Lonchura striata: one gene and its partners. The main gene of each other region encodes a partner of the protein of the gene in region 4 in a complex. Links are inferred from orthologs where the notes say so. Each region holds a gene or a part of one and is shown on either strand. Other genes may lie near its edges.

The links. Proteins that work in one complex are often made in the same cells at the same time.
Region 1: TMEM17 (region 4) and TMEM216 share a complex: the UniProt entries of both Homo sapiens proteins name them as parts of the tectonic-like complex. The link is inferred for Lonchura striata from reciprocal best matches to the Homo sapiens genes TMEM17 and TMEM216.
Region 2: TMEM17 (region 4) and B9D2 share a complex: the UniProt entries of both Homo sapiens proteins name them as parts of the tectonic-like complex. The link is inferred for Lonchura striata from reciprocal best matches to the Homo sapiens genes TMEM17 and B9D2.
Region 3: TMEM17 (region 4) and AHI1 share a complex: the UniProt entries of both Homo sapiens proteins name them as parts of the tectonic-like complex. The link is inferred for Lonchura striata from reciprocal best matches to the Homo sapiens genes TMEM17 and AHI1.

Annotation. Positions count from the first base shown.
Region 1 is NC_134608.1:53,696,342-53,702,551, forward strand, and holds TMEM216 (transmembrane protein 216), read right to left. Parts: upstream 2,338-6,210; coding exon 2,211-2,337; intron 1,910-2,210; exon of another isoform or gene 1,860-1,909; coding exon of another isoform or gene 1,847-1,859; intron 1,654-1,846; coding exon 1,552-1,653; intron 1,470-1,551; coding exon 1,377-1,469; intron 1,177-1,376; coding exon 975-1,176; intron 886-974; coding exon 870-885; 3' UTR 514-869; downstream 1-513. Other genes in the region: TMEM138 (transmembrane protein 138), read right to left, coding at 2,529-2,641, 2,724-2,799, 3,543-3,714, 3,787-3,914; lysosomal membrane ascorbate-dependent ferrireductase CYB561A3, read left to right, coding at 4,971-5,011, 5,831-6,036, 6,101-6,210. UniProt on the Homo sapiens protein: Part of the tectonic-like complex which is required for tissue-specific ciliogenesis and may regulate ciliary membrane composition.
Region 2 is NC_134633.1:4,806,566-4,813,870, reverse strand, and holds the start of B9D2 (B9 domain-containing protein 2), read left to right. Parts: upstream 1-4,292; 5' UTR 4,293-4,313; intron 4,314-4,569; 5' UTR 4,570-4,572; coding exon 4,573-4,660; intron 4,661-6,753; coding exon 6,754-6,879; intron 6,880-7,305. Other genes in the region: zinc finger protein neuro-d4, read left to right, coding at 209-290, 2,571-2,641. UniProt on the Homo sapiens protein: Component of the tectonic-like complex, a complex localized at the transition zone of primary cilia and acting as a barrier that prevents diffusion of transmembrane proteins between the cilia and plasma membranes.
Region 3 is NC_134605.1:58,104,334-58,111,171, forward strand, and holds the start of AHI1 (jouberin), read left to right. Parts: upstream 1-3,825; 5' UTR 3,826-3,893; intron 3,894-4,397; exon of another isoform or gene 4,398-5,874; intron 5,875-6,294; 5' UTR 6,295-6,330; intron 6,331-6,838. UniProt on the Homo sapiens protein: Involved in vesicle trafficking and required for ciliogenesis, formation of primary non-motile cilium, and recruitment of RAB8A to the basal body of primary cilium.
Region 4 is NC_134620.1:1,591,248-1,598,193, reverse strand, and holds TMEM17 (transmembrane protein 17), read right to left. Parts: upstream 2,279-6,946; coding exon 2,161-2,278; intron 1,923-2,160; coding exon 1,747-1,922; intron 1,365-1,746; coding exon 1,251-1,364; intron 874-1,250; coding exon 592-873; 3' UTR 523-591; downstream 1-522. UniProt on the Homo sapiens protein: Transmembrane component of the tectonic-like complex, a complex localized at the transition zone of primary cilia and acting as a barrier that prevents diffusion of transmembrane proteins between the cilia and plasma membranes.

The DNA of each region.
Region 1 (6,210 bases), on a different chromosome or scaffold from region 4:
TCAGGGCTGGAATCACACTCGGATGAGAAAACCCAGGCCCTGGAAGTCTTTTTAAGTTGAAATAACCCAAATCCAGGAGAAACCACCCCGATTTTCCCAAGCCCCACGAGGTGGGAGCACTCGGCGGGAGAGCTCCGGGTTTTTTTTTACTTACCGCCACAGATTTTTAGTTTCTTTCCAAATAGTGGAGAGGGGGGAAAAGATTCCCCCCCAAATTGCAGAGCAAATCCCTGGAAGCCCCGGCGAGGCGCCGCCCCTCCTGCTCGCAGTGATTAGATTTGTCTTTGGATAGGTTGGAATTGTGTAATAAACTCAGATGACGTTGTCAGTCTTTTATACAGTGCTCCTGTTGCCTTCCTACGGTGGGATTTGGGATAATGAGAGAATGGGAGGGATTTGGGGAGGTCTGTGCACCCGTTGTCCCTCACCCTCTTCCTCCTCCAATGGGCTCCTGTGCTTCCCAAACTGGCTCTGAGGTGCTGGAAGCACCTGAACATTCCCAGGCAACGAGTAAAAATAAATATTTATTGGAAAATAGTGAATTATTCTGGAAGGTCGTAGAAAAAAAAAAGGATTCTTCATACCTTGAGCTGGCTCAAGCTCTGAGGAGTCCAAGTGGAGTGGAGAGTGGGAAAGGTGGGAAGGATAGGCCCAGGGGAGAGTGAGTGAAGTGGGAAGTGGGAAGAGGGAGGAATGAATCCATGTGGCAGCAGGTCCCTGGTGAAGTGGGAAGTAGGAAAAATGGGAGGGATGTGTCCAGGAGGCACCAGATGAAATGGTCAGTGGGAAGGGTGGGATCATCCCCATTCCCGGGGCTGGGAAGTGGAGCTGGCACGGGTGATGCTTCCCTGTGTCCCTGGGCCGTGTCCTCAGTAGGGATCCATGCTGTGGAAAAGACAGAGACAGGGATGTGTGGGTCCCAAACCAACCTGGCAGCTGCTGCGCCAGCTCCCCCAGTTCCCAGCATGCGGCACCTGGAGAAGGAGAGCAGTGCCAGGAAGCCCAGAAGCAGCTCCAGGCCGTAGAAGAGGAGCAGGATGGCGCTCAGGAACGCTTCCAGGCGCAGGGAATATGTCTGGAGCAGCAGGTAGTACACAGCCAGCACAGCCGCCGGCACTGTAAGCGCCAGGCTGAGGGACAGCGGCACCTTCCGCTGGCACAGGTTCCCCTTGGAGCCTGTGGAACACAGAGCTGGGATCAGAACATGGGAGGGTTTTGGGTGGGGAATTAAATGTCCCGTTCCCGTGGGCAGGAACACCTTCATCTAGCCCAGGCTGCTGCATGCCCCATTCCAACCTGAACCTCCAGGGATGTCTTCGGGGGTGTCCCAGGACCCTGCACTCCCTGTGGAGCCTCTGGCATTCAGGGGCACTCACCGAAGAAGATGCGTGTGGCCTCAATGCCGAGGTAGAGGAGGAGCAGCACCACGTCCAGCACCAAGTTGTAGACGGGATAGGGCAGGAGCAGCACTGCCGGAAAAGCACCGCCCTCAGCATCGCATTCCTGCCCACCCCGGCGGGATGGGGAACAGCTCTGGAGCGAAGCACTCACCTTTGTACACGAACACGAACGCTTCCAGGAGAAAATACGTGGCGCAGTACCAGCCGTTGAGGAAGAGCAGGACCTGCAGCGGAGCCGAGGAGCGATGGCGGCCTGAGGGGACACGGGGCGGCCGTGAGGGGGGGGGGGAGAGCACGGGGCGGGCAGGGCAGCGCGGCCCCCGGAGCCCTGCAGCGCCTTGCCCGCCCCCTTAGCCCATTCCCAGCGCTGCTCCCAGCCCGAGCTCCTCCCGGTAGCCCCCGCTGCCCTCCGGTAGCTCCCGTTTCCCCCCCGGTCCCGCTCCCACCCCTGGGCGCCATCTTCCATCTCCATGGGGACGGCCGCCGCCGCGCTCGCCCGCGCGGGGGCGCTGCGGGCGGGGCCGCGGGGCGGGCGCGCGGGGCGGCGGGGCGGGCGCGCGGGGCCGCGGGGCGGGCGCGCGGGGCGGGCGCGCGGGGCGGCGGGGCGGGCGCGCGGGGCGGGCGCGCGGGGCCGCGGGGCGGGCGCGCGGGGCGGCGGGGCGGGCGCGCGCGGCCGCTCGGTCCCCGCCGCTCCCGGCGGTGCGCGCGCCGCTCCCGCCGCACCGCTCCGTGGGCGGAGCGCCGCGCGGGTTCGCGTCCCCTCCCTCCTAAACCCGCCCGCTCGTATCCGCTGGGAGAAGAATCCCACACCGGAACACGGGAACGGCCCCGTTCGAACTCCGCCCGCCAAGCGCAGCGCCGAGCCGGGTTTCAATGAAAGGAGTGCAGCCGTGACACCGGGTGGGCGCACACACCCGGGAGCCTCCGGAAACCACATCCGATTTATTCCTTTAGGGTTTCCATTAACATTCCAGTGCCAACCAAGGCTGTGGCACGCACGGACGCCCCACAAGCGTCCCGCTGACTTCCAGAATCCCAAGGACTGCTCCCTAGAGAAAGGATGAGCCAGAAGTGACCCCGGCAGAGCCTGTGGAGTGCAAGGAGACTCCAGGGGATCCTGGGGATCCATCAGCCACGGAAGTGGGCAAATTCCTTGCGGAGCCAGAGTGAATCCTGGTAGAAGAGGGGGTCTCCCAGGTGCACAGCTGTCCGCTTGTAGAAGTAGCAGTAAAGCACGGCCGCTGCAGGGAATTTCAGGATGAGAGAGGGCCCCCAGCATCCCCAAAGGATGTGGGATCCCACCCTGATCCCTGGAGTCCTTACCCAGCCTCTGGAAAACGAACAGGGTCTGAAGGCCTTCAGTCCAGATGAAGCGGCTGGAGTCACGCCAGCGCAGGTTCTGAGGGGGTTGGAAAACTGGGAATAACCCCTGGAGCAGTTTTGTTGAGCCCTCCCAGACCCCTCACCCCATTCCAAAGGTTCTGAGCGGGATGGAGGGACATCAAGCTAGGAGTAACACCTGGAGAAGTTTGGGAATCCCCCTACTCTAAGGTTAAGCAGCTCAGGGGATTTAGGCATTGAGCCCGGACCTATTCCGGCTTCAGACTGCAGATCCCTGCAAATCCCTGCAAATCCCTTTCCTGGACGGCGTGGGCAGCGCTGGAGCAGCTGCTGTGGCTCCTGACCCCTCACAACATTCCCTGTGCTCCGGGGCAGCAGGATGGAGGGAACTTCAGGAAGTGTCCAGGGGATGGGAACTGCTCCGTTGGGAAGGAGCTAGGAAGGAGTTTATTCAGGAAAGAAAAGGGGAAGGTGCTGCCAGGACAGAGCCAGGAGCTGCAGGAAGGGAGTGGGCTGCCCCCAGGTATAGGGACTGATCCCAGAAAAACCAGGAGCTGCTAGCACAGGCTTTCTCTGGGGAAAGAGGATTTTCTGATGGGTCACAGCCCTTAGGGAATGAGCTGGGATGGGGCTGGGATTGGGCAGGACACTTCCAGCCTGATGCCAACCACAGTGTCATGGAATGGGACATCTTCCATGGGGCACCTTCCAGGGGGAGACCATGAGAAAGGACTGTGGGAAGCTGGGGGTCATGGAAAAATCCCTTGGGAGAATCCAGCAGCTGTGCCCACGCCACCCTACCATAATCCAGATGTGGAAGGAGATGCTGAGTGCCAGGTAGGCTGCAGAGAGCAGGATGGTTCCCTTGAATTTATGGAAGAGGAGGTTGACCAATCCCGCCTGGAAAACGTAGGTGTTGAAGAACATGAGGAAGATGATGATGACGTTGAAGACGATGGCGATGTCCTGGATGCTGCCGGGAGAACAGAGGGACCGTGGGCTCCTGGGCCTCCTGGATCTGCCGCCCCGCCTTGCCCGTACTCACATGAAGAGGACGAGCTGCACGGCCGGAGCTGTGCGCAGCAGCTCCGAGAAGGAATTCACAAAGAGGTCGTAGGAAAGCAGCAGGAACTGCAGGAACAGCACCAGGCTGTAGTTGCTGGGCTGGAGCATCCTCCTTCCTGGGGCTTGGAGCCCTCAGCCCCAGCATTCCCAACGGATCATGGCGCTGAGGGGGCTCAGCAGGGCCTCTCCCGACGTCCCAAACCTGGAGGGGGAAGACGGGGATTGGGATGGATGCCATAAATCAGGGAAACCCAATGAGCTGTGTCCTCTCTCTCCTCTGGTGTCTTCCTTCCCCTTGAAATCCACCCCCATCCCCATGTGAGGAAATCCAGGGATGAGGGAGACGTGCAGTCCCAAGAAGCAGTGTCCAAGCAGGTTATTTCTGGCTGTTCTCAGCTCCATGGGCAGTTCTGAGCAGGTTTGGGCATGTTCCACTCTGGGCACAGGGAGAGGAGTGAGGAGAGACAGACGGGAAGTTTTGGACACCTGAGCAGGTACGGTCCTTGTGGGACACATATCCCACAGGGGGAACAGCCCCCTCAGGGATCATCCTGGCTGAAGAGGGACGGAGGGGACAGGGATCCCCCGTGTCCTGGCAGGAAAAGGGCTGTGCTGGGAGCTGAATTCCCTGAGGGGGAGACATGGTGACAGACGGGGGTGAAGGGGCTGGAAAGGGAGGAAAGTGGTTGGAAATGCGGGGAAAGAAGGCTGGACATGGGAGCGAGAAACTGATGGACACGAGGGGGGAAAGAGTTGGATATGGGGATTAAGAAATCACTCTCTGCCCCTCCAGATCCGCGTCACTCCGCCCCTCCTCACAGCCACCACCGCGGATCCCCCGCGCCCCCTCTCGCCGCCCTCTCCCCCCGTTCGTGGCCCCCTCCCCTCTCCGGGGTCCACCCCCCGACACGCCCAAAGCCCTCTGGGTGCGGAGGTCCCGGTGCCGGGGGTGCCGCCGGGTCCCCGCCGTGCCCCCGCCCCGGGCGCTCACCCGCCGCCGCCATCTTGGTCCCCATGGAAACGGCCGCCAGAGCCGGAAGTGGAGCCGGAAGTGGCGGCTGGAGGCCCCGCGGGGCCGCTCTGGCCGCCGCGCCTCTCTGTGGCGCCGCATTGGGGCGGGCGGGGAAACCATAGAGATGAGCGGGCAGAGCGGCGCCCGCCAAGATGGCGGCGCCCAGTGAGGAGGAGGGGGCGGTGGGGCGCAGGTACAGCCCCGGGGCTGGGAGCGCTGGTGGGCGGCTCCGGGGCTGGAGGGGCTGAGGGACCTCGTGGTCTGGGCTTTGGGTGGTGTCAGGGCCGGGCGTTTTGGTCCAGGTCCAGGTTTGGGCGGGGCTGTGGAGCCACGTGTTCCCAGATTTCGGGGAGCCGTGGCACCGAGTGTGCCAGATTTGGGAAATCCGTGAGTCTTTGTGTCCCGGAGATATCACAGATTTTGGGGAACCATAGGGCCGTGTGTCTCCACCCCTTTCCTGCCTCTATGTCCTGTGAGGCAGCTGATTTGAGGGTGTCGGGACAGCCCCGGTCCCCAGAGGGGACAGAAATAGCCAATTCTGGGGGCACATGCAAATCGCATAGAAATGAGAGCGATGGGGTTCCTGCCAAGGGGACCATGACAGCTGACACCAGGAGCTCCTCACTGCCATTCCCGGGGTGCTGTGCCCTGCTCTGCATGTCCTGTTCCATCCCTGGCCTCCTTCCCAGTCCAGGGCACAGCTGGACTGTGATCACCCCCTCAGGGTTCCCAGTTCCCCTTTCCACGGTTTCTCCTGGTGATGTTGGAGAGCCCCAAAAGGCACCTCAATCATCCCCAGGCGCCACCATCCTGGATCCATCCCTGCCACCATAACCAGGCTGGGAAGCTGCTGGGCCACCATCCGTGGCTGGGAGGCAGCTCCATCGCCGTCACCTTCCCCAGGCTGTCAAACAGCTGTCCCCCACACCCTTCGGGACTCCCAGTTCCCCTTTCCGTGGCTCCTCCCTGGGACCGCATCCGGAGCCTGAGCCGGCTCCTCACTCGCCCACAGGTGCCACCAGCGCTCCGCGGCCATGCTGGACGTGCCCTTCTTGCCCTTCTGTGCCTTCCTGGGAACGCTGGGATTGCTCTGCGTGGCCATGGTGGGCTCCTGGTGCCAGCACTGGCGCGGGGGCTTTTCCCTGGACGGCAGCTCCCGGACATTCAACTGGCACCCCGTGCTGATGGTGACGGGATTGGTGGTGCTCTACGGCGCAGGTGAGCAAAGGGAGCGCGGGGATCCCGCCACAGCTCCTTCCTGACCTTGTTCTCCCCCTCACAGCTGCCCTGGTTTACCGCATTCCCTACACATGGAGTGGCCCCAAGCTTCCCTGGAAGGTGCTGCACGGCAGCTTGGCTTTGGGGGCGTTCATCCTGACCGTGCTGGGGCTG
Region 2 (7,305 bases), on a different chromosome or scaffold from region 4:
TCCCTTTCTTTTTTTCCCAAAACCCCCTTTCTTTTTACCCCAAACCCCTCCATTTCCCCCCAAAAATTCCATTTATTTCCCCCAAAAATCCCTTTTTTCCCCCCAAAATCCATTCCTTTCCCCCGGCCCCGTCCTTTCCCCAAATCCGTTCTTTTTCCCCAAACCCCATTTTTTTGCTTTTGCCCAAAATCGCCTTTTTTGGCCCCAGGAGCAGCTGCTGTTCTGCGACGACTGCGACCGCGGCTACCACATGTACTGCCTGAGCCCGCCCATGGCCGAGCCCCCCGAGGGTACTTTGGGGCGTTTTGGGCCTTTTTGGGCATTTTGGGGCATTTTTGAGCATTTTGGGGCATTTTGGGAGAAATTTTGGGAGAAATTTGGGAGGATTTTGGGGGGTTTGGAGGGATTTTGGGGCATTTTTGGGGGGATTTGTGGGGGTTTCGTGGGGGTTTTGGAGGGAATTTGGGGAATATTTTGGGGGGTTTTGGAGGGAATTTGGGGGATTTTGGATCATTTTGGGGATTTTGGGGCATTTTGGGAGGATTTTGGGGGATTTTGGGGAATATTTTGAGAGATTTTGGATAAGATTTTGGGGGATTTTTGGGGGTTTCGTGGGGGTTTTGGAGGGATTTTGGGGAATATTTTGGGGGGTTTTGCAGGGAATTTGGGGGATTTTGGGGGATTTTGGGGATTTTGGGGCATTTTGGGAGGATTTTGGGGGGATTTTGGGGGGATTTTTGGGGTTTTGAGGGGGTTTTGGTGGGATTTTGGGGAATATTTTGGGGGGTTTTGCAGGGAATTTGGGGGATTTTGGGGATTTTGGGGATTTTGGGAGGATTTTGGGAGGATTTTGGGGGGATTTTTGGGGGATTTTTGGGGGGATTTTTGGGGTTTTGCGGGGGTTTTGGTGGGATTTTGGGGACTATTTTGGTTGGGATTTTGGGGGGGATTTGGGGAATTTTGGGATTTTGGAGAATATTTATGGGGGATTTTGGAGAAATTTGGGAGGATTTTGGGGGGGTTTGGAGGGATTTTGGGGGGGAATTTGGGAGATTTTGGGTCATTCTTTGGGGGATTTTTTTGGGATTTTGGGAGATTTTTGAGAGGAATTTGGGGGAATTTTGGAAGGATTTGGGAGATTTTGGGGGTTTTGGAGGGATTTTGGGGGTTTTTTTTGGAGGGAATTTAGGGAATTTTGGAAGGATTTGGGAGATTTTGGAGATTTTGGGGGATTTTTTGGAAGTTTTGTGGGGGTTTTGGAGGGATTTTGGGTTTTTTTTTGGAGGGAATTTAGGGAATTTTGGAAGGATTTGGGAGGTTTTGGGGAGTATTTGGGGAGATTTTGGGGAAGATTTTGGGGGATTTTAGGGGAATTTGGGTGATTTTGGGGCATTTAGGGTTTTTTGGGGGGATTTTGGAGAAGATTTTGGGAAAATTTGGGGGGATTTGGGAATTTTTGGGGAGAATTTGGGGAGATTTATGGGAGGATTTTGGAGAATATTTTGGGGGATTTTAAGGGAATTTGGGGGATTTGGGGGATGTTTGGGGATTTTTGGGCAGATTTTGGAGAAATTTTGGGAGAAATCTGGGAGAATTTGGGAGAATTTGGGAGAATTTGGGTGGGTTGGGGGGGGCTTGGAGGCATTTAGGGGCATTTTGGGGGGATTTTGGGAGATTTTGGGGATTTTGGGGATTTTAGGGGATTTTTGGGGGGATTTGGGAAGTCTTTTAGGGATTTTGGGGGATTTTTTTGAGATTTTGGGGATTTTTGGGGGGATTTTGGGGGAATTTTGGAGATTTTGGGAGAAATTTGGAGGGATTTTGGGAGGGTTTGGAGGCGTTTTGGGGCATTTTAGGGATGGAATTTGGGAGATTTTGGGTCATTATTTGGGGGATTTTGGGGATTTTTTTGGGATTTTGGGGGGATTTGGGGGATTTTGGGGGATTTTTGGGGGGATTTGGGGATTTTGGGGAGAATTTGGGGGGATATTTGAGGGATATTTGCCAATTTCGGGGGGAGTTTTTGGGATATTTTTTGGATACTTTTGGGGAATATTTACCGATTTCGGGGGGATATTTGGGGGAATTTTGGGGCTATTTTTGGGGAATATTTACCAATTTTTGGGGGATATTTGGGGGAGTTTTTGGGCTATTTTTGGGGAATATTTACCGATTTCGGGGGGATATTTGGGGGAGTTTTGGGGCTATTTTTGGGGAATATTTACCAATTTTTGGGGGATATTTGGGGGAGTTTTTGGGCTATTTTTGGGGAATATTTACCGATTTCGGGGGGATATTTGGGGGAGTTTTGGGGCTATTTTTGGGAGATGTTTACCAATTTCGGGGGGATATTTGGGGGAGTTTTTGGGCTATTTTTGGGGAATATTTACTGATTTCGGGGGGATATTTGGGAGAATTTTGGGGCTATTTTTGGGGAATATTTACCAATTTTGGGGGGATATTTGGGGGAGTTTTTGGGCTATTTTTGGGGAATATTTACCGATTTTGGGGGGGATATTTGGGGCCGTTCCGGGGCCATTTTTGGGTTGAAATTCGGCGTTTTGGGGCAGGGAGCTGGAGCTGCCACCTGTGCCTGCGGCAGCTGAAGGAAAAGGCCTCGGCCTTCATCACCCTCCCCTAGGGGGGGCCGCCCCCCAAAAACCCCCAAAAACCCCCAAAAACCCCCAAAACCCCCGACCCCCCCCCAAAAACCCGACAAAAGCCATAACCGAGCTGGGGGGGGGGAGGGGAGGTTTTGGGGAGGGGGCTCCCAAATTTTGGGGGGGGGGGGGGGCGCCGAGTGTTGCATGATGGGAAATTTTGGGGGTCCCTCCCCCCCCTCCCGCGCCCCCCTCCCCTCCCCCCCCCGCGGGCGGATTTTGGGGGGGTTTTTGGGGGGGGTCGGGAGGGGGGGTGGGGGAGGGGAGGGGGTTGGGGGTCTCTCCCCCCCCCCAACCCCTCCCCAAATTTTGGGGGGCCCCCCCCCGTGGTGTCGTGGTCGGTTCTGTGCTGTGGTGTCCGTGCAGTAAATTTGGGGTGACCCCCCCGTGACCTCTGACCCCGTCTGGGGGGGGGGAGGGAATTTGGGGAGGGGGAGGGGCGGGAATTTGAAGGGGAATAAAATTTTGGGGGGCAGGGGCAGAATTGGGGGAGGGGCAGAATTTGGGGGGAGGGGCAGGAATTTGGGAAAGGAGGAATTTGGGGAGGGGAGGGAATTTGGGGAGAGGAGCGAGAATTTGGGGAGGGGGAGGGGTGGGAATTTGGGGCAGGAATTTGGGGAGGGGGAGGGGCGGGATTTGAGGGGAAGGAAAAATTTGGGGGGGAGGGGCAGAATTTGGGGGAAGGAGGAATTTGGGGAGGGGGAGGGGCGGGAATTTGGGGGAGGGGGTTGAAATCTAGGAGAGGGAATCCCAAAATTTGGAGGGAAAAGTAAAATTGAGGGGAGGGACATGAAATTTGGGGTTTTTCCTCAGTTTCGGTGTTTTTTCCCCAATTTTGGTGTTTTCCCCCCAATTTCTGGGTTTTTCTCAGTTTTGGGGATTTCCTCCCCAATTTCTGGGTTTTTTCCCCCTAATTTTGGGGGATTTATCCCCAATTTTAGATTTTTCCCCCCAGTATTGGGTTTCTTCCCCCAATTTTGAGTTTTCTCCCAATTTTGATTTTTTCCCCCCAATTTTGGAGGCTTTTCCCCCCATTTTTGTTTCCCCCCCCAATTTTTTGGTTTCTTTCCCCAATTTCTGGGGTTTTCCCCAAAGTTTTGGGGTTTTCCCCCAATTTTGGTTTTCCCTCCCCCCAAGTTTGTAGTTCTTACCCCAATTCCTGGGTTTCCCCCCAATTTTGGGGTTTTTCCCCCAGTTTTGGGGTTTTTGCCCCAATTTTGGGGTTTTCTCCCAAATTTCTGTTTTTTTCCCCAATTCTAGTTTCTCCCCTCCAGTTTTGCAGTTTCCCCCTCCAGTTTCTGGGTTTTTCCCCCAGTTTTGGGTTTTTCCTCCCAATTTTTGGATTTCCCCCGAATTTTTGGATTTTCCCCCAATTTTGGTTTTTTCCCCCACTTTGGGGCACCCCAAGATGGCGGCGGTACACACAAGATGGCGGCGCCGCCCTCAAGATGGCGTCCCCCTACTCTGTAACGCCCAAGATGGCGGCGGCCGTACGGCAAACTCTGCCTCACACGCATGCGCAGTGATAACGCCGCTCTTTGTGGGCGTGGCCTGACCCGCATTGACCAATCAGCGCCGGCCCGGCGTTACCGTGGCAACGCAATGCGGCAGCGCCGCCCGCGCATGCGCAGTGGCGGCGCGGGCAGGGGGCGGGTGAGCGCCGCGCGGGCGGAATTTTGGGGGGAATTGTGGAAATTTTGGGGAATTTTGGGGGGAATTGTGGCGATTTTGGGGATTTTTGGGGGGAATTTGGGGCGGGGGACGGAGGGGATGGGTGGAGATGAGGGAGGGACGGGCGGGGATGGCGGGAGGGGAGAACGGGGCGGTTTTGGGGGGGATTTTTTGGGATTTTTTGGGATTTTTTTGGGGGGATTTTTGGGGTGAATCCGGCGGGTTTCGGGTCCCGCAGCCCATGGCGGAGCTGCACCTCTTCGGGCAGATCGAGAGCGGCTGCGGCTTCTCCGAGCGGCGCCTCTTCTGCAAGTGGGGGCTGCACGCCGGTGAGCGCGGCGGGGTGGGGGTCTGGGGGGATTTTGGGGATTTTTGGGGAATTTTGGGGAATTTGGGGGAATTTGGGGGATTTTGGGAGGGATTTGGGGGAGTTGGGAGGAATTTCGGGGAGTTTTGGGGGAGTTTTAGGGGGATTTGGGGATTTTTTTGGAGGATTTTGGGGGGATTTCGAAGGGATTTGGGGAGATTTTGGGAGGAATTTGGGGGATTTTGGGAGGAATTTCGGGAGGTAAGGGGTGGGTTTTGGGAATTTGGAGGGGAGATTTGGGGATTTTTGGAGGATTTTGGGGGGTTTTGGGGATTTTGAAGGAGATTTTGGGGGGATTTTAGGGGGATTTGGGGGGTTTGGGGGATTTTGAAGGAGATTTTGGGGGAATTTCGGGAGGTTTTGGGGGGATTTTAGGGGGAGATTTGGGGATTTTTGGAGGATTTGGGGCGGATTTGGGGGTTTTGGGTGGAATTTGGGGGATTTTGGGGGAGTTGGGAGGAATTTCGGGGGGTTTTGGGGGCACTTTGGGGATTTTAGGGGGATTTGGGGGAGGGTTTGGGGGAGATTTTGGGGGTCTTGGGGAGATTTGGGGGGATTTTGGGAGGAATTTGGGGATTTTGGGAGGGATTTTGGGGGATTTTGGGAGGTAGTGGGTGGATTTTGGGGATTTGGGTGGGAAATTCGGGTTTGTTTGGAGGATTTTGGGGGGATTTGGGGGAGGGTTTTGAGGAGATTTGGGGTTTTTGAAGGAGATTTGGGGATTTTGGGAGGAATTTGGGGGATTTCTGGTGGGATTTGGGAGATTTTGGGGGGATTTGGGAGATTTTGGGGGATTTTGGGGGGTCTGGGGGATTTTAGGGAATTTGGGAGGAATTTTGGGGGGATTTTAGGGGTTTTGGGGGAGAGATTTGGGGATCTTTTAGAGGATTTTTGGGATTTTGGAGATTTTGGGGGATTTGGGGGGATTTTGAGGGGAACTGGGGGAATTTGGAAGATTTTGGAGGGATTTTGGTGGGATTTGGGGAGATTTGGGGACATTTGAGGAGTTCTGGGCAGATTTTGGGGGGATATTGGGGAGATTTGGGGGTTCCGGGGTGATTTTGGGGGGACCTGGGGCTTTGGGGCCATTTGGGAGAATTTTTGGTGGTTTTCGATGATTTTTGGGTTATTTTAGGTGATTTGGGGATCATTTTGGGGTGATTTTGGTTAATTTTTAGGGTGATTTGAGGTTATTTAAGAGGATTTTGGTGTCCCAGGTGATTTTGGGGTGATTTGGGATGATTTTGGGGGATTTCGGGGGTTTTGGGGTATCCTAGGTGATTTTGGGGGGATTTTGTCGTGATTTTTGGGGTGATTTTGGGGTGATTTAGTCTGATTTTGGGACATTTCAGGCTGATTTTGGGATATTTCAGGGTGATTTTGGGACATTTCGGGCTGATTTTGGGACATTTTGGGCTGATTTTGGGAAATTTTGGGCTGATTTTGGGGTGATTTTCTCTGATTTTGGGGTGATTTTGGCTGATTTTGGGCCGTTTCGGGTACTGGCGCCACCTGGACCCTCCTGGCTGATTTTGGGGTGATTTGGGGCCATTTTGGGTTGCTTTTGGGATATTTTGGGGTCATTTTCCCTAATTTTGGGCCACTCCGTGCTGCAGGCTCCGCCTGGACGCTGCTGGCTGATTTTGGGGTGATTTTGGGACATTTTGGGGTGATTTTCCCTGATTTTGGGCCGCTCCATGCTGCAGGCGCCGCCTGGACGCTGCTGGCTGATTTTGGGGTGATTTTGGGGTGATTTTGGGACATTTTGGGCTGATTTTGGGCCGTTCTGGGCGCAGGCTCCGCCTGGACGCTGCTGGCTGATTTTGGGGTGATTTTGGGCTGATTTTGGGACATTTTGGGCTGATTTTGGGCCGTTCTGGGCGCAGGCTCCGCCTGGACGCTGCTGGCTGATTTTGGGGTGATTTTGGGGTGATTTTGGGACATTTTGGGCTGATTTTGGGCCGTTCTGGGCGCAGGCTCCGCCTGGACGCTGCTGGCTGATTTTGGGGTGATTTTGGGACATTTTGGGCTGATTTTGGGCCGTTCTGGGCGCAGGCTCCGCCTGGACGCTGCTGGCCGGGGCGGGCGCGGGGCAGACCCAGCTCGACGACCCCCAGGGGGGCGACGCCGCCCAGTGGAGCCACCCCCTGGACCTGCACCTGGGGACACGCGGCCTGCAGGGTGCGGGGACACCCGTGGGGACATCGGGGACACTGGGGGGACATTGGGGACACTGGGGACAGTGGGGACATTGGGGACACTGGGGACATTGGGGGGATTGGGGGCACTGGGGGGATTGGGGACATTGGGGACACTGGGGACATTGGGGACATTGGGGGGATTGGGGACATTGGGGACATTGGGGACATTGGGGACATCGGGGACACTGTCAGGGCCATGGGTGTTCAGGGAGGACACTGGTGGTGTCAGGGTCCCCAGGTGTGTCCCCAGTGTCCCCAGTGTCCCCCCAGTGTCCCTGATGTCCCCAATCCCCCCAATGTCCCCATGTCCCCCCAATGTCCCCATGTCCCCAATGTCCCCAGTGTCCCCAATCTCCCCAATGTCCCCAATCCCCCCAGTGTCCCCAATGTCCCCAATCCCCCCAAT
Region 3 (6,838 bases), on a different chromosome or scaffold from region 4:
GATTTATAGAGATAATAGATACTTAGCTATACCTCAGGAGACGCTGTTCAAGAAACACTCATAGAGAAGACAATGAAATTTGTCTTCCGAGGGTTTGTGACCTCATTGTCTGGACACACAATTTGAACCTATGGCTTCTGAAACCTAGTTTTCTGTCAGTGAAATAAAATGAGGTTACCTTCTTTTCCTCCTGTTGCAAAGTAAATAGACATTCTAGTACGTTAAACATATTGAAATATGAGGGACTGTTCACGTGACACTCCTAATAACTTCAGCCAATTTAAAATGGAAAATAAAATTAGTTTTTAAAAATTTAGGAGTGTTACATTCCCTGTTAATACCAGATCCCTAGGATTGTGCCACTTCATAATTCCAGCCTTGCTTCAAGTCTCTGCACTAATATGATGACTAAGACTTGATTTCCTTAAAACATTTTAAAGTCTTAAACTGAAAACATGATCAAAAAAGGAAGAAGAAACCAGGTTTCTTTAAATGTTTTGCTGAATTTTAATGTAAGATTTTTTTTGCTTTGGGCCTATAAATAAAAACTGTAGTAGGCTGTGAAAAAACTTTTCTGTATTACAGAATTATAGCTTTGGGAGAACTGCCACTCACAAGAAGTTGATAATACACAACCAAAATAAAATCCGTGGTCACAATTGGTTTTGTATCTACCCTGGAGAGAACTTTGTGAAGGTAAATGTGGCTCAACAAAGTCAGTGAGGATAAAGAACATTCTTCTGAGAACTCTTTTCTGAGAAAGGACTGCTTACTTGCCCCCATGAACTAAGGGCACCCACTTCAGGACTAGGAGACAAGTCAAGGACAGAACTAAGAACTAACAGGGAAAGCTTTTCAGTTCAAAGACTTGCAGATCTCTGAGAAGCAGCCACAGAAATTTAGACTGCCAAATAAACACCTACAGGCATTTCTACTGCCAGTATTGAGGCACACCAACTTTCCAGCATAGTTATTTCTTATGACTTGCATTTAAACCACTAGAAATTTAGCATGCAAAATGCAATCATCTCAGGATGCAGAACATATTGCAGAATTGTTTTCTATTAAAGAAATTGATTATTGGCTTTAAAGTTTTGACCCTTCTTTTTTTTTACCAATGTAATATATGTAAATTTCTTCTTTCTGTTGTCCCAACTCAAGCTTCACCTTATGTCAAATTAGATTGTTTGCTCAGAATACCAAATAGCAGAAACCCTATTATGTTTTGCTATCAAGAGAAAATAACCCACTGATGAGTTAAACAATTAACTTCTGCCAACATATCACTGCACAGTTAGCATTCTCTGAGTTATCCAGCCCCAGATCGTTTCCATTTTGTACACTCGAGTGACACCTCGAGGCTGTCCCTGCATGTGACAGATTTTACCTTTTGCTGAAAGGTGGGCTCTGACAAGAACCTTGATCCATTCTTCATCGTCCTGGAATTCCTGCGAGAGTTTCAGAATGCATCTGGTATCTTCAAACTGTTCACCTGTAACCCACAATGTCACTTTAGTTCGTGTCCCTTTCTACTTCCCACACATCCCAAATGTAAGATAATGGAAAGCTTTCTCTGTACAAGCCCCTGCAACTGAAATACCAGGTGAACACAGGGAACACATGCTTTTGAAGCCATTGAAAAACTCCATGCACACATGTTCAATTTTTTTCAAAAGTCTTGGTTTTCTGCTTCTAGCAGCATAGGAATTGCACACTTGTCTCTGCTTATGAACAGGATATGTTGTGTTTGGAGTATGCTTTCTTTCCTTTGGTGTCTGTTCCACAGGCCATCGAAGTACAGACAAAACTCATCCTGTTATTTTAGGGGCTGTACAGGTTCCCCTGCATTCTTTAGGTGCTCCTGACTTGCATTGCTTTTGCAATAATGAGCAAAGTCCAAATATTTTTTTTAAATTTCACAGTCAGGAAATGGAAAAAAAATATTTGTGACACTGACACAGGAATACACATTGCAACATCTTTAGCTGTAATGAAAGTGTGATCAGCAGCCTCAGGAACTGCTTAGCATCAGCAGGTCATGTTTTGCACTATGCAAAGTACATCAGAAGAACTGTAAGACATAGGACATTGTAAGAAGTAACATGAGGTGAAAAAGTCTTCTTTACATCAGCATGTCAATCCTTGGCTTACAGTAGCTTTCTATATGGAACATTCTTAACTCCAGAATAGTAATTTTTAACTAGTCCAGGATGAAAGGAACAAATTTAACATAGACTTGTTCTATCTATTATTTATGAGTAAGAACTGCAGCATTGTCATCTGCCTCTACCCCCCAAAAACCCAACTAAAAAAGTCAGCTAAAGAGGTTAGATTTATTCTCCCCTGGCACGGAAACTGGCCTTGACCACTACTTGCTTATAGATCTCAGATGGCACAAATACCTCATGTTTGTCAAAGGTGTAATGATCACAGAAATCTTAAAGACATTCTTTTGAAGCAACTGCTCCTGGAAACTTGGCACAAACTTTTGGTAGTAATAGAAAACCTGTGGATGTCTCCTGCCAGGCTTACTTAGAAGGCTTTATAGCTTTATTACTGCTGGTCAAATTAGACAATATCAAATCCGCTTTCCATGTCAATGATTAAAAATGACTGGTTTTGAGTTTGCCACAACTGAGCCTCTCAGATGCCAGGAAGTTAGTTAGAAAGGAAACATCTATCTGGATTTCTGATCCAATCTCTTGTTCAATGCAAGGCCAACCTGAAAGCGAGTCCAGGTTGTTCAAGGCCATTATTTCATGGACTTTGGGGCACTACGAAGGACAGGGAGATAAAGAATGGAGATTCACTAAGGATAAAGGGAAGCACACGAATGCTGAGGAGTTGGTTTATGTTTGTTATGCCAAGGCAACCCAGGAGACCTGCCTAACAAAACCAGAAATATCCCTACCTATCAGTTGAGTGCACGTAAGCTTTTGAGAAAGCAGAGGACAGGTAAGTACAAAAAGAGACATTAGTGACTGTCAATAACAACACATAAGGAAAGAACAGGCAAGCCAGGTTTCAGAAGGTCATTCTTTAGGAAGCCAGTGTAATTCATTGACAGAATTTGAGGGATGCAATGCTTGGGAACTATGTCACAAACTCAGCATCACAAGCATTTGCTCACCTCTAGTTTCTGAAAATTGCTATCAAACGAAGGCTAATTTTATTCAACTTTACTTCTGAAAAAAAACTAACCATGTTCATGGAAAACCTTGCACTGATTTCTCAAATCTTCCAGTGCAGGAGGAACCTTTGACATCTATAGTTTTAATCATTTTTTACACAGAATAATTGAATATACAGGCTTTCAATGACAAAAATGCTCAAGTTTATTAGGTAATTATCCCTGAGAGGGAAGAAAAATATCCCCCAAAGAACTGCTTAAATCAACTATTAAATCAGGCAACAAACAGAAGTTCTCCAGTATCTGCATAGCTGGAGGACATAAATTTGTGCTACTATTTGCAGAAAGCTTATGTGCATTCCAAACGCTTGTCACTCGCCCTCCTGAGCCCAACAGAGCCCATTACCCAGGGACTTTATTCTTCGCCAAGCTACTTTTGTTAGTCTGAACTCCGAGAGCTAATACGTAGTTTCGACAGTTTTGTTTTTTTTTTAATGGACGATGAAATACCCGTGCGAGGGCTCCCGTTTCTAATGCTTTTCATAGCTGTTTGTTTGTTTTTGGTTTGGTTTGTTTTTCCCCGTTCCCCGCGCCCCCAGCGCGCCGTTTCCCTGGCAGCCGGGATTGTTTTGGGCGGAACCACCCGCGCGGCGCTGCGGAGGGGGAGCGGGGCCAAGGAAGAGCGCACTGGCGGAGGGAAGGGGGAGGCGGGGCGGCCGCCGCCGGGCCACGTCGCGGCCGCGGCGGGAGCGGACGGGGCCGGGTGAGTGCTGCCCTCGGCGGGCAGCGGGGCCGCGCCCCGGGCCGGGCCCCGCCGCTCGTCGCAGCGCACGGCCCCGGGGGCGGGTAGCGCTGGGTAACGCCTCCCCGCCGCTGCTCCCTCCCCCGGCTCCCCTGCCCGCCCCGGGGCGGGGGGCTCAGCCTGGGGCTGGGCACGGCCGCGGCCGTTGGCGCGCGCGGGCGGGGAGCGGGAGCGGGATCGGGATCTGGGCCGGGGCCGGGCTGGGAGCGGGATAGGGGCGGGATCGGGATCGGGGCTGGGCTGGGAGCGGGAGCAGGGGCGGGAGCGGGATCGGGCTGGGAGCGGGATAGGGGCGGGAGCGGGATCGGGCTGGGAGCGGGATCGGGGCTGGGAGCGGGATCGGGCCGGGCGGCGGCCAGCGCGGGCCGGGTGCGCGGGCGCGCTGCGGGAGGGAGCGGGAGCGGCTGGCGCAGCCGGCGAGCGTGCCCGGAGCGGCCCCGCAGTGCCGCTGTCGCCGGGCGGCACCGGCGGCCTAGAGCCGCCTCAGTGCTGTCGCTGTCCGCTCCCGGCGCGGAGGCACGGGCAGTGCCGCGGGATGCCCTAAGCCCGGATGGGTGTTCTTTCGCCTCCGCCACCCCACCCCCGCCTTTCCCGGGCTCTGTGGTTCACTGGGGTGACGTCCGTGGGCAGCTGCAGTGAACATACACAGTGCTTCTCCATGCCTGACACCCGGCTCCGAGGCGGGGATGCCTCCCTCGCATGCGGGGCGCGCATCTGGATGCGCATCACATCCTCGTTAAATAATTCCGTCGGTTAGTCCAGTTGTGGTGTGGGGCCGGAAAGTCCCTTTATATCTTTTAAATCTTCTTTCAGGCAAAGCAGAATGTCACATTGGAAATTCAAATACTTAATGCGGTCTCTTGTTAAGAACAGTTTTTAATAATTAGCATCTAAGATAAAGCAGAAAGTTAGCAAACAATAAAAGTCGTCTGTATTTCCTTACATAGAACTGAAGTCAGTAATTTTGCCATCAGAGTCTATTTGCAACTTTCTCTGCACCGAAGGTGCCAAATTTCTGGGGTAAAAACCGCAACCTAACAGTTCCTACGAAGCAAAAACTTTCTGGTATGTTACTATTAAAAAACTGAGGGCTGCACCAGCTTTTTAAAACATCTTTTCTTATTAGTATAAGGTTTTTACAGGCACATCTAAACTGGTAGAAAACTACTGCACTTTTACTAGGTTTTACATAGGTGTTTATTTCGTCTGTTGGTTTTCTGGACTTAAACACTGAATTTTCATTAATAAAACTAGATTGGTTTTTGATGTCAGATTTTTTCAATAGTGAGCAGGAACACATTCATCTCTGTAATTTTGCTGTATAATTCTGAGCTGAAGTTCTTTCACATCTCAGGAGTAATGGTCACTGCATGTTGCTTAATTAGATGCCTACTAGTAAAACCCAAGATTTCCCTCTGTGATATAAAAGATGAGAAATAAACAAGACCTGATGTTCTACTTGTTTACAGACACTGAAGTTTATGCTCACTTACTGCGACAAAAGAAAAACAAGGAATTTAGTTCAGGAAAATCCTAAGTGTGCAATTATATTTTGTCAGCTCAGTTTACTAAATAGTTATAATTGGGTAGGAAATTTTTTCACTTCCCATTGTTTAGTGCAAATTCTGTATGTGCTGCTCATAGTAATGTGAGTTTGATTTATATCTTTTATTAGTGGTCAGTAAAAGTGGGTTTTGTGTATGGTGACTATCGTGGCATGTTTAGCATAAAATCCCTGTATTACAGATGTAGAGTATAGCAACTCAATGAATATTGTAAAATACTGTGAAAAGAGCAAGAGGTTAATGTAGAATCACTTTATAAATAGAATATTGGAGAAGAACAAGCTAGGTTATTTTCAGGAAAGTATAGTAATTGTAAGTTTAGACTTTATGAATTTGTTTTGCTATTTTGTCATGCTGGCTGGAATGTCACTTTCCAGGTATGTGTTTTTGTCAGTCTTGGATTGTCTTATATTTACTAACATGGAAAAGATCCAATTTGATCAGGCAAAAATGCATTTTACAAAATTAATGATGGCTGAGCTTACTCAGACTGGGGCACAGTGGTTGCTGAACTTTGATATACAATTAAATCTCTCCTAAGGTGAGATTACACTAAGTAAACAGCCTTGTTCTTATCCTTGTTGATTAATGATCTATATTTACACAAGCCTGATAGTTGCTTTAAAGAAGCATGTCAAAGACTATGAAGCACTAAATTGGAAATGCCTATTAAACAATAGCACTGTCATGAGAGGACTTTATCGCTTAGTTTTATTGCCACAACAGGGTAGACACTGATTAAGTAAACAAACAGTTATGCATTCATTGGTGAATTTTGATAATTCTTCATTTTACAGGGCATGCTTGTAAACATGAGGCGACCCTAGCCTTTGGTAAGATGTTTGTTCCATTATAATAAAAAAATATGTAAGACTAGTATTTTAACCAACCTATGGGTTATTTAACCTTTGACCAGAAACTTATTACTTAGACTACTTAAATAGAATAGTACTATTCTAGAATAGAATAGTACTTAGACTAGATATGCACTTATTCCATTTTGCTTTTGTGTACTATATTGTCTCATATTTTTTGCTTTAAGAGCCCTTCAGTATTTAATTTCTTATTTCTAATTAGTTTTAGAGGGCTTGTTGAAATTATTCAGCTAATTATAAGATACTTTTCCATGTTTCTGTGGTCTTTAGTCAGTGATTAAAGTGATAGAATCTGTTGTATTTTTTAAATTTATTTAGTTTTCTGCTCTTCTAAATTATGTGCTTTCTAGCCAATTGTGAATTGACTATTTGGAAAGCAGCACTTAGTAACTGTAGTACTTTTGAAATGGCCATTAAATTTAACCAGGTATAAATTGCAAAAGCAGTTTTGTTTTTCAATGGTATT
Region 4 (6,946 bases):
CACAAGAGGCTTAAAGCATTTTGCATTTCTCCATGTTCCAGTAATCACGGGCTTTGATTTCCCTTGAAAAACAGGGATGCAATGGAATAAAGCTGTTCTGGAAGTGGGAGGAGGTTTTGCTCTGTCTCTAGCCATGGAGGAACTATAAGGTTGTGGAGTGCTGCTCTTGCACCTCGTGGCACCCTGCATGCTTCCAGCTGGGATGGCTTTGTGTGAACCACCTGGATTCTCAGAAGCTCTCTGGGAAACTCAAGGAGGGTTTAGGAGCCAAGTTTAAAGTTCCAGCCCTGGGCTGGTACTTCCTAGGGGTATGCAGTGGCTCCTGCACCCTGATTCCTGCCTCCTGCCAGGGCTGATGCTGAGCAAGGACAGGCACAGCTGTGGGGTGAGCTGGAATGTTTTAGAGGTGCTAACCGCTCACTTCCACTTTTCCTAGGCTGTGTTAGCTGGTGCAAGGCTGGGATCAGCTGGGCTGTGCCTGGGTGCTGTTCTGGAGTCTCCACAAAGCTCAGAAACAATGTCTGTGGGTTCAAGCACTGTTTAATGCTCCTTGCCAGGATCAGCTGTGTGGGGTGGAGGGGTCATGCAGCATCATCCCATCTTGGCTGCCTGTCCCCCTGTGCCCTCTGGCTCCAGCTGGCCCCTCGCACCCTCCTGGAACTGCCGCAGGTAGAACTGTGCCGCCAGATGCTTGGTCATGGTCCTCAGTGCCAGGAAGGCAGCCACGATCTCGGGGAGGAGGAAGGTCAGGAACAAGCTGTGCATGGGCACCTCCAGCGGTAGGTGGATGACCTGCCTGTCCATCAGCAGGAAGAGCAGGAGGGGCAGCTGGATCAGGAAGGAGAGGAGCAGGAACCCAGCCAGCTCAGGCACCTGCAAGACCAGAGGCTGCTGAGACAGGGCAAGAAGGCAGTGGTGGGCTGGGGGGACCCTCTGTGCTCCTGGAGCTTCCTGCATCAGCCTCTGCTGGCCTTGGTGCCCAGGGACTAGGGATGTCCCTGCTCCATTGAGTTGTGGTGAGATGCTGTCAAACCCCCCCAGTGGAGAGACACAGCAGGAGGGCAAATGGGTCCCTTTCATTCCTCTCTCCAGGTCATGCCTTCACCCATGATTCTCTTCTAGGACAGTTCCAGGTAGACCTCCAGAGAAAGGACAGTGATGGACACATGGCTCATAAGTGAGGAGAAATCCAGCTCCCCCAGCTGGGCTGATCCTCTCTGAGCACAGAGGCCAGGGCAGGCAGTGCTTACCTTCTCCTGGAGGTTCCCCAGGTAGCCCAAGTAGAGGCGGGAGCCCTCAGCCAGCGAGAGGATAAGGAAGGCTGTGACCAGCAGGAACTGATAGTGCCAAGGCAGCAGGTGGTACTGTTATGGGAGCACAGCCTTGTTCAAGTCTAGCTGTCCATGCCCAGTTTCCCTTTCTTCTATGCACCATTCCCTGCTCTCCATGCCTTGTGCCCTCCTCCCCATACCCAGCTTTCCATGCTCTGCCAGATCTCACCATGCTGGTGCACAGCTCTGCCTACTCTTCCCCCCTGTTTTAACCATTCTTGCCTGGAAAGTTAATGATTTCCATCTCTAGCAGACAGAAATGAACAATCTTTTCTCATGGGGGTCAGGGCATTTTGGGACTCCAGTAATTCTGAAAAGGTTCCTCTGTCCGCTGCCCATTTTGTCCCCCACCCAAGCCCAGGGAGACTTGGCAGGAGCAGCTCCTCCCATCCCCACGTGCCCCATGGGATGGTACCTTCAGGTGCAGCATAATTCCCTCAGCCAGGCACCAGACTGGGAAGTAGTAGACGTTGAAGTAGAGCATCACCTGGAGGGGCAGGCTGGACAGCACCTTTTGAGCTAGGCAGGACAGGCAGGAATAGGCAGGCTGCTCACCAGCCCCGGGGTCCCCCTGCCCAGAGGGACCCCCCCCTCACAGTGGAGGTGAGCAACAGACCCTGGGTCCCACAAGCAGCTGATTGCAGCAAATGTTCTTGATTTTGCTCCCCTCCCTGTTGGGTGGTTTCGGGGACTCTTTGGGTGCTTTGGTGATGTGCTGAGTAGGGTCATGGGGATGGACACCCCCTGTTCCCAAGCCCCCCTGTGCAGGGTCATGGGGATGGACACCCCCTGTTCCCAAGCCCCCCTGTGCAGAGCCCTCTGCGCATACCTGGCTGGTAGCCGTGGGCAGTGCTGCTGTCCCACGTCTTGTTGTTGATGAAGAGGGAGCCACTGAAGGCCACCAAGCCTCGGCGCAGGCTGGGGGGCAGTGGGGTGGGTACAGCCATGGACAGCAATCCTGCTCACACCAGCCCGGCTCAGCCCAGATTAGCCAGGAGGGAATCAGTGAGGTGGCAGGCCAGGCTAATGCGCAGGGCCATATGGCCATTGGCTCCCTGGGGACAGGGCTGCTGACCTGGAACGGGGATCTGAGGAAGGAGAATTCCCACCTTGGAACACCAAGCCCATGCAGGAATCACATGGTGGAGTTGCAAGGAAGTCACAAGTCACAGAGCATCTCCTGTCAACAGCATCTTTAGGGGGTGACAGCAGCTTGTACCCGTCACTGTGACTTGAAGCAACTGCACCCTCTCTCAGCCAGGCTCTATCAATACAAATATTGCTCAAAGACCCCTGACAGATGAGGATGCCTCATGAGAGGATGGTACTCTTCACCTGAAATGCTTCTTCAAGGCCTCCAGGTTCATGGAGCATTTACCCATCACTGTGAGTTCCTCAAGCCCCACCCAGGCTCAGGGGTGCTGGGGAGGGCAGTGGGGGATGATGTGTTAGCGGGTGGCTGAGCCAGAGATGACTGGGAGTGAAAGGTTCTTCAGGAACTTCAAGTTGAAAATCACATAATTATTAAGGTGGGAAAACCCCTCAAAGATCATCAGGTCAAATCATTAACACAGCACTGCCAAAGCCACCCCTAAACCATGTTACATCTACACATTTTTTGAACACTTCCAGGGATGAGGGCTCCATCACTGCCCTGGGAAGCCTGTATAAGAGCTGGACAAACCTTTCCATGAAGAAATATTCCCTAATATCCAAACTGAGCCTCCCCTGGCCCAGCCTGAGCTGTTCCCTCTCCATCTGTCCCCATTCCCTGGGAGCAGAGCCCAACTCCCCGGCTGTCCCCTCCTGTCAGGAGCTGTGCAGAGCCACAAGGTCCCCCCTGAGCCTCCTTTTCTCCAGGCTGAGCCCCTTCCCAGCTCCTTCAGCTGTTCCTGGGGCTCCAGCCCCTTCACCAGCACTGTTGCCTTCTCTGGACACACTCTGTCAGTTCTACCCAACAGATCTAGGTCTACCCAACAGACCTCATGATCTTCAGCTCACCCCATAAGGTGCATCAGAGAAGCTGCAAATAGTGAAAGCAAGTGCTGTAAGTGAGGTCCTTAAGGGCCAGAAACTGTCAAGGAACACAAGAAACCAAAGAAAGAGATTATTCTTTTCCTGAATAAAGCTAAAATGAAATTGCAGAGCTCACTGCCATATGCTGTCAAAACCAAACCATCTGGGGCTGAAAGCATGGTTAAACCAGCACCTGATTGGCTGAAGTTACAGGACCACAGAATGGTTTGGGTTGGAAGAGACCTGAAAGCTCATCTCATCCCACCCCCTGCCATGGGCACAGACATCTTCCACTATCCCAGGGTGCTCCAAGCCTCATCCATCCTGGCCTTGGACATGTTCAGGGAGCCAGGAGCAGCCATAGCTGCTCTGGGTACCCTGTGCCTGGGCCTGCCCACCCTCACAGAGAAGAATTTCTACACTACATCCCATCTTCTTCTCAACATCCCAACCTGCCTTGTCCTGTCCCTCTATCCCTTGTCCCCAGTCCCTCTCCAGCTCTCCTGGAGCCCCTTTAGGCCCTGCAAGGGGCTCTGAGCTCTCCCTGGAGCCTTCTCCTCTCCAGGTGAGTACCGCCAGCTCTTCCAGGCTGGCTCCAGTCTTCAGAGGATCTCTGTGGCCTCCTCTGGACTCATTCCAGCAGCTCCAGGTCCCTCCTGTGCTGAAACCCTAGAGCTGGATGCAGTTTTCCAGATGGGGTCTTACCTGCATGGGGCAGATGCTAAGCCCCATCTGTCCCCCAAGTCCTGCCAGCACACAGGTGAGACATGGGCAGGGTGACAGACATGGCCCAGAATCTGAGGAGCAGAAGCTCGTGGAGAGCTCAGGATCTGGAGGCACCAAATCTGCATGGGCAGGCAAGGTGAGCAACCAAGATGATACCTGGGCAGTCTGGTGGAGGTAACTGACATGGGGCAGAGCAGCTGGGGGTCACTTCACGTGCCCCAGCTGGGCTCTCATTCCACATGGGAACAGGCAGTTTCTTAAGAAGAGATGGAAACTTTCTGTCCTGGCGTGAGAGGTTGCAAGATGTGCCTGAAAGGTGGCAGAGAACACAACCCAGCCTTGCCCAGTTCCAGGACAGACTCGCCACTGGGAAGCATTTGCCAAGGCACTAGATAAGGGTCTCAGGTTCAACACCACCCCACACCTGTGCAGAGAAGCAATACCATCTGAGCCAGCTCTACCTGTGACCTGACATGTACCAAGGAAAGCTACAGTAGTGACTGGGATTTCTCATGTCACGGGTGATATTACCAGCCCTGGTTGAAATAACTCCTCTGTAAAAAGCAGGAAATGGGACTTGTTATCCCCACTGCAGCTGCAGACTGGGATTGAAGGTCCTTCCTCAGCCCCTGAATGGTCTTCAGCCCTGTGAACATGGGGGTGATGCCCATTCTATGCAGCTCATGCACAATACTGAATGAGGCCTCATCAGAGGCAAAGGAGGTTAAAAAGCATCTTCCTGAAAAACAAAGCACACTGCCAGTGTGTCCCCATTGTAGCAAAGCTGTGCTGGGAGAGCTGCCAGTCTCACCCAGCATGAAGAATATGACAGAGAGCTTGGGGAAAACACACCTGCAGGGAATGCCACCCTCTGGTGTCCCAGAGTCCCCTGGCACTCCAGCTGGGTCCCCTGGTGAGCTGCCAAAGCTGAGTCCAACTATCCCACCAGCAGGACACGGGATATAAAGCCAGATCTTTGTGAGCAGTGGGCAGAGGTGAGGCAACACCCGGGCAGCTGCCTCCACCTGGGCAGTGCCCATGGCCCTAGGCCACTCTGTAAGAACCCTGCCTGGGGCACCAGGAGCTGAGCAGCCCCAGCCACCCCTGCCCTCAGAGGAGGATCTGTGGACAGGAACACTGATATTTGTCTTTTGGAACCTGAAATGAGACTTGCAAGTTCCCATTGTTTTGTGGATCCAGCAGACACACAATGATCCCTGTTCATCACAGGATGTGTGCTGGAGTGTGCACATCCTGCTACCATCCCTCCTGGTCATTCCGCCTGGGAAAAGCTTTGCAGTGAAACCAGGAGAGACCAACCAAAGATATGATAGACACTGGTGCATTTCTACCCAGCCAAGATCTGAAATACTGGAAATACAGGTGAGCTGGACACAGGTGGGAAGTCTCCAGAGAATAGGTTCTTGAACAATCTGGCCAACATGAAAACCCAAGGTCTTGGAAGAAATCAAACATGACCCAGACCTCAAGAATAGTATTGCTTTAATTTGTAGGGGGTGAATCAAATTAAAAATATAAATCCTCTTGTTTGGGACTCAGGGTAAAACACTGCTGGGGAAAGAGTCACCCCCAGAACAGAGCACTGGAGTCTCTCCAAGGGGGACCCTCAATCCCCACTCTGCTGGGCTGATGGACACTGGGCTGTGGCTGGCCAGGTTCACTCCTGAGCTGGAGATATGGCTCTTCTTCAGCATGGGGCCAGAAACAGGACAGCAGAGCACTAGCGTGGTGGGCTGGGAAATGCAGCTTTGTCACTGCCAGAGAATGGACAGCCAGAAATACCACCCCCCCCCAGCTACTTTTCCTCTAATAACACCTCAGCAACAGCACTGATCCCACGAGAGCATTAAGGAGAGATAACCCAAGTCTGACTGGAAGGGTGGCCACCCAGTCCAGGGCTGCAACTGAGCCATCACAGCTCTCAGGTACCCCTGCTATGCACTCCGGGAATGGGCGAAGAGCTGCCAGTGCCCCAGCCCAAACGGGGCCCCAAGAGACAGGGAACGAATCCCAAGCCCTTGGCTGCTCCAGGACAGGAGATGCTGGGAGGGGGACTGATGAGCTCCAGAGCCCTCAGCATGGACAGGGACCCACTTCTGCTGGTGGGGCTGCACAGGACCAGCCTGGACAACAAAAGCACCAGCTGCACAGAAATCACCCAGTGTAATCTGGCCTGCCCAAATGCCCCCTGGGGTGGGTGGGCACAGGGAGAGCTGTGACAAGTGCTGCAGCCATGCAGGAAGGGAGTGGCTGTCAGGCTTCGCAGGGATGTGCATTGCAGCTCTGCTGGGAGCAAAAAGAGTTTGGAAAGGAGCATCATGCATGAAAGCACAGGAGCAACCAAAGGCACTCGTACTGCTTATGGGCTTCTGGAGGGAGGGGCATGCGTGGGGCAGACCCTCAGCCCGATGGCAGCATCCAGAGCCATATGGAGCCCATGCCCGCTGCCAGTGCCAAACCTCTGTAGGCTGCTTTTCCAGCATTCCACAGCAATTGCAACAGCAGAGCCCCAGCCCAGCCCAGCAGGCACAGGGGCAGAGGAGCTGTGTGAGATCCTCTTGGGAAGGTCAGTGCACAATGCCAGGTTCATAAAGGTCTCAAAAGGAAATGGCTGAACCATGGGGTTCCCACTGGGCCATGGAGCTGCTGTCCCATCTCCCCATGGTGAGTGCAGCATCAGGACAGCTCAGCCATCCGTGGCTTTAGGTGCCTTTCCCTGTTAGCCAGGACATGTCTCCAGTTCTAAAAGAGAAAAAATACACAGTGCTGTAAGGGGTTTCTCAACGTGCAGAGGCAAATGCTCTTGGTGTGCCTTGGTGCTAGTCCAGTACTTGATGGCCATCCCACCAACC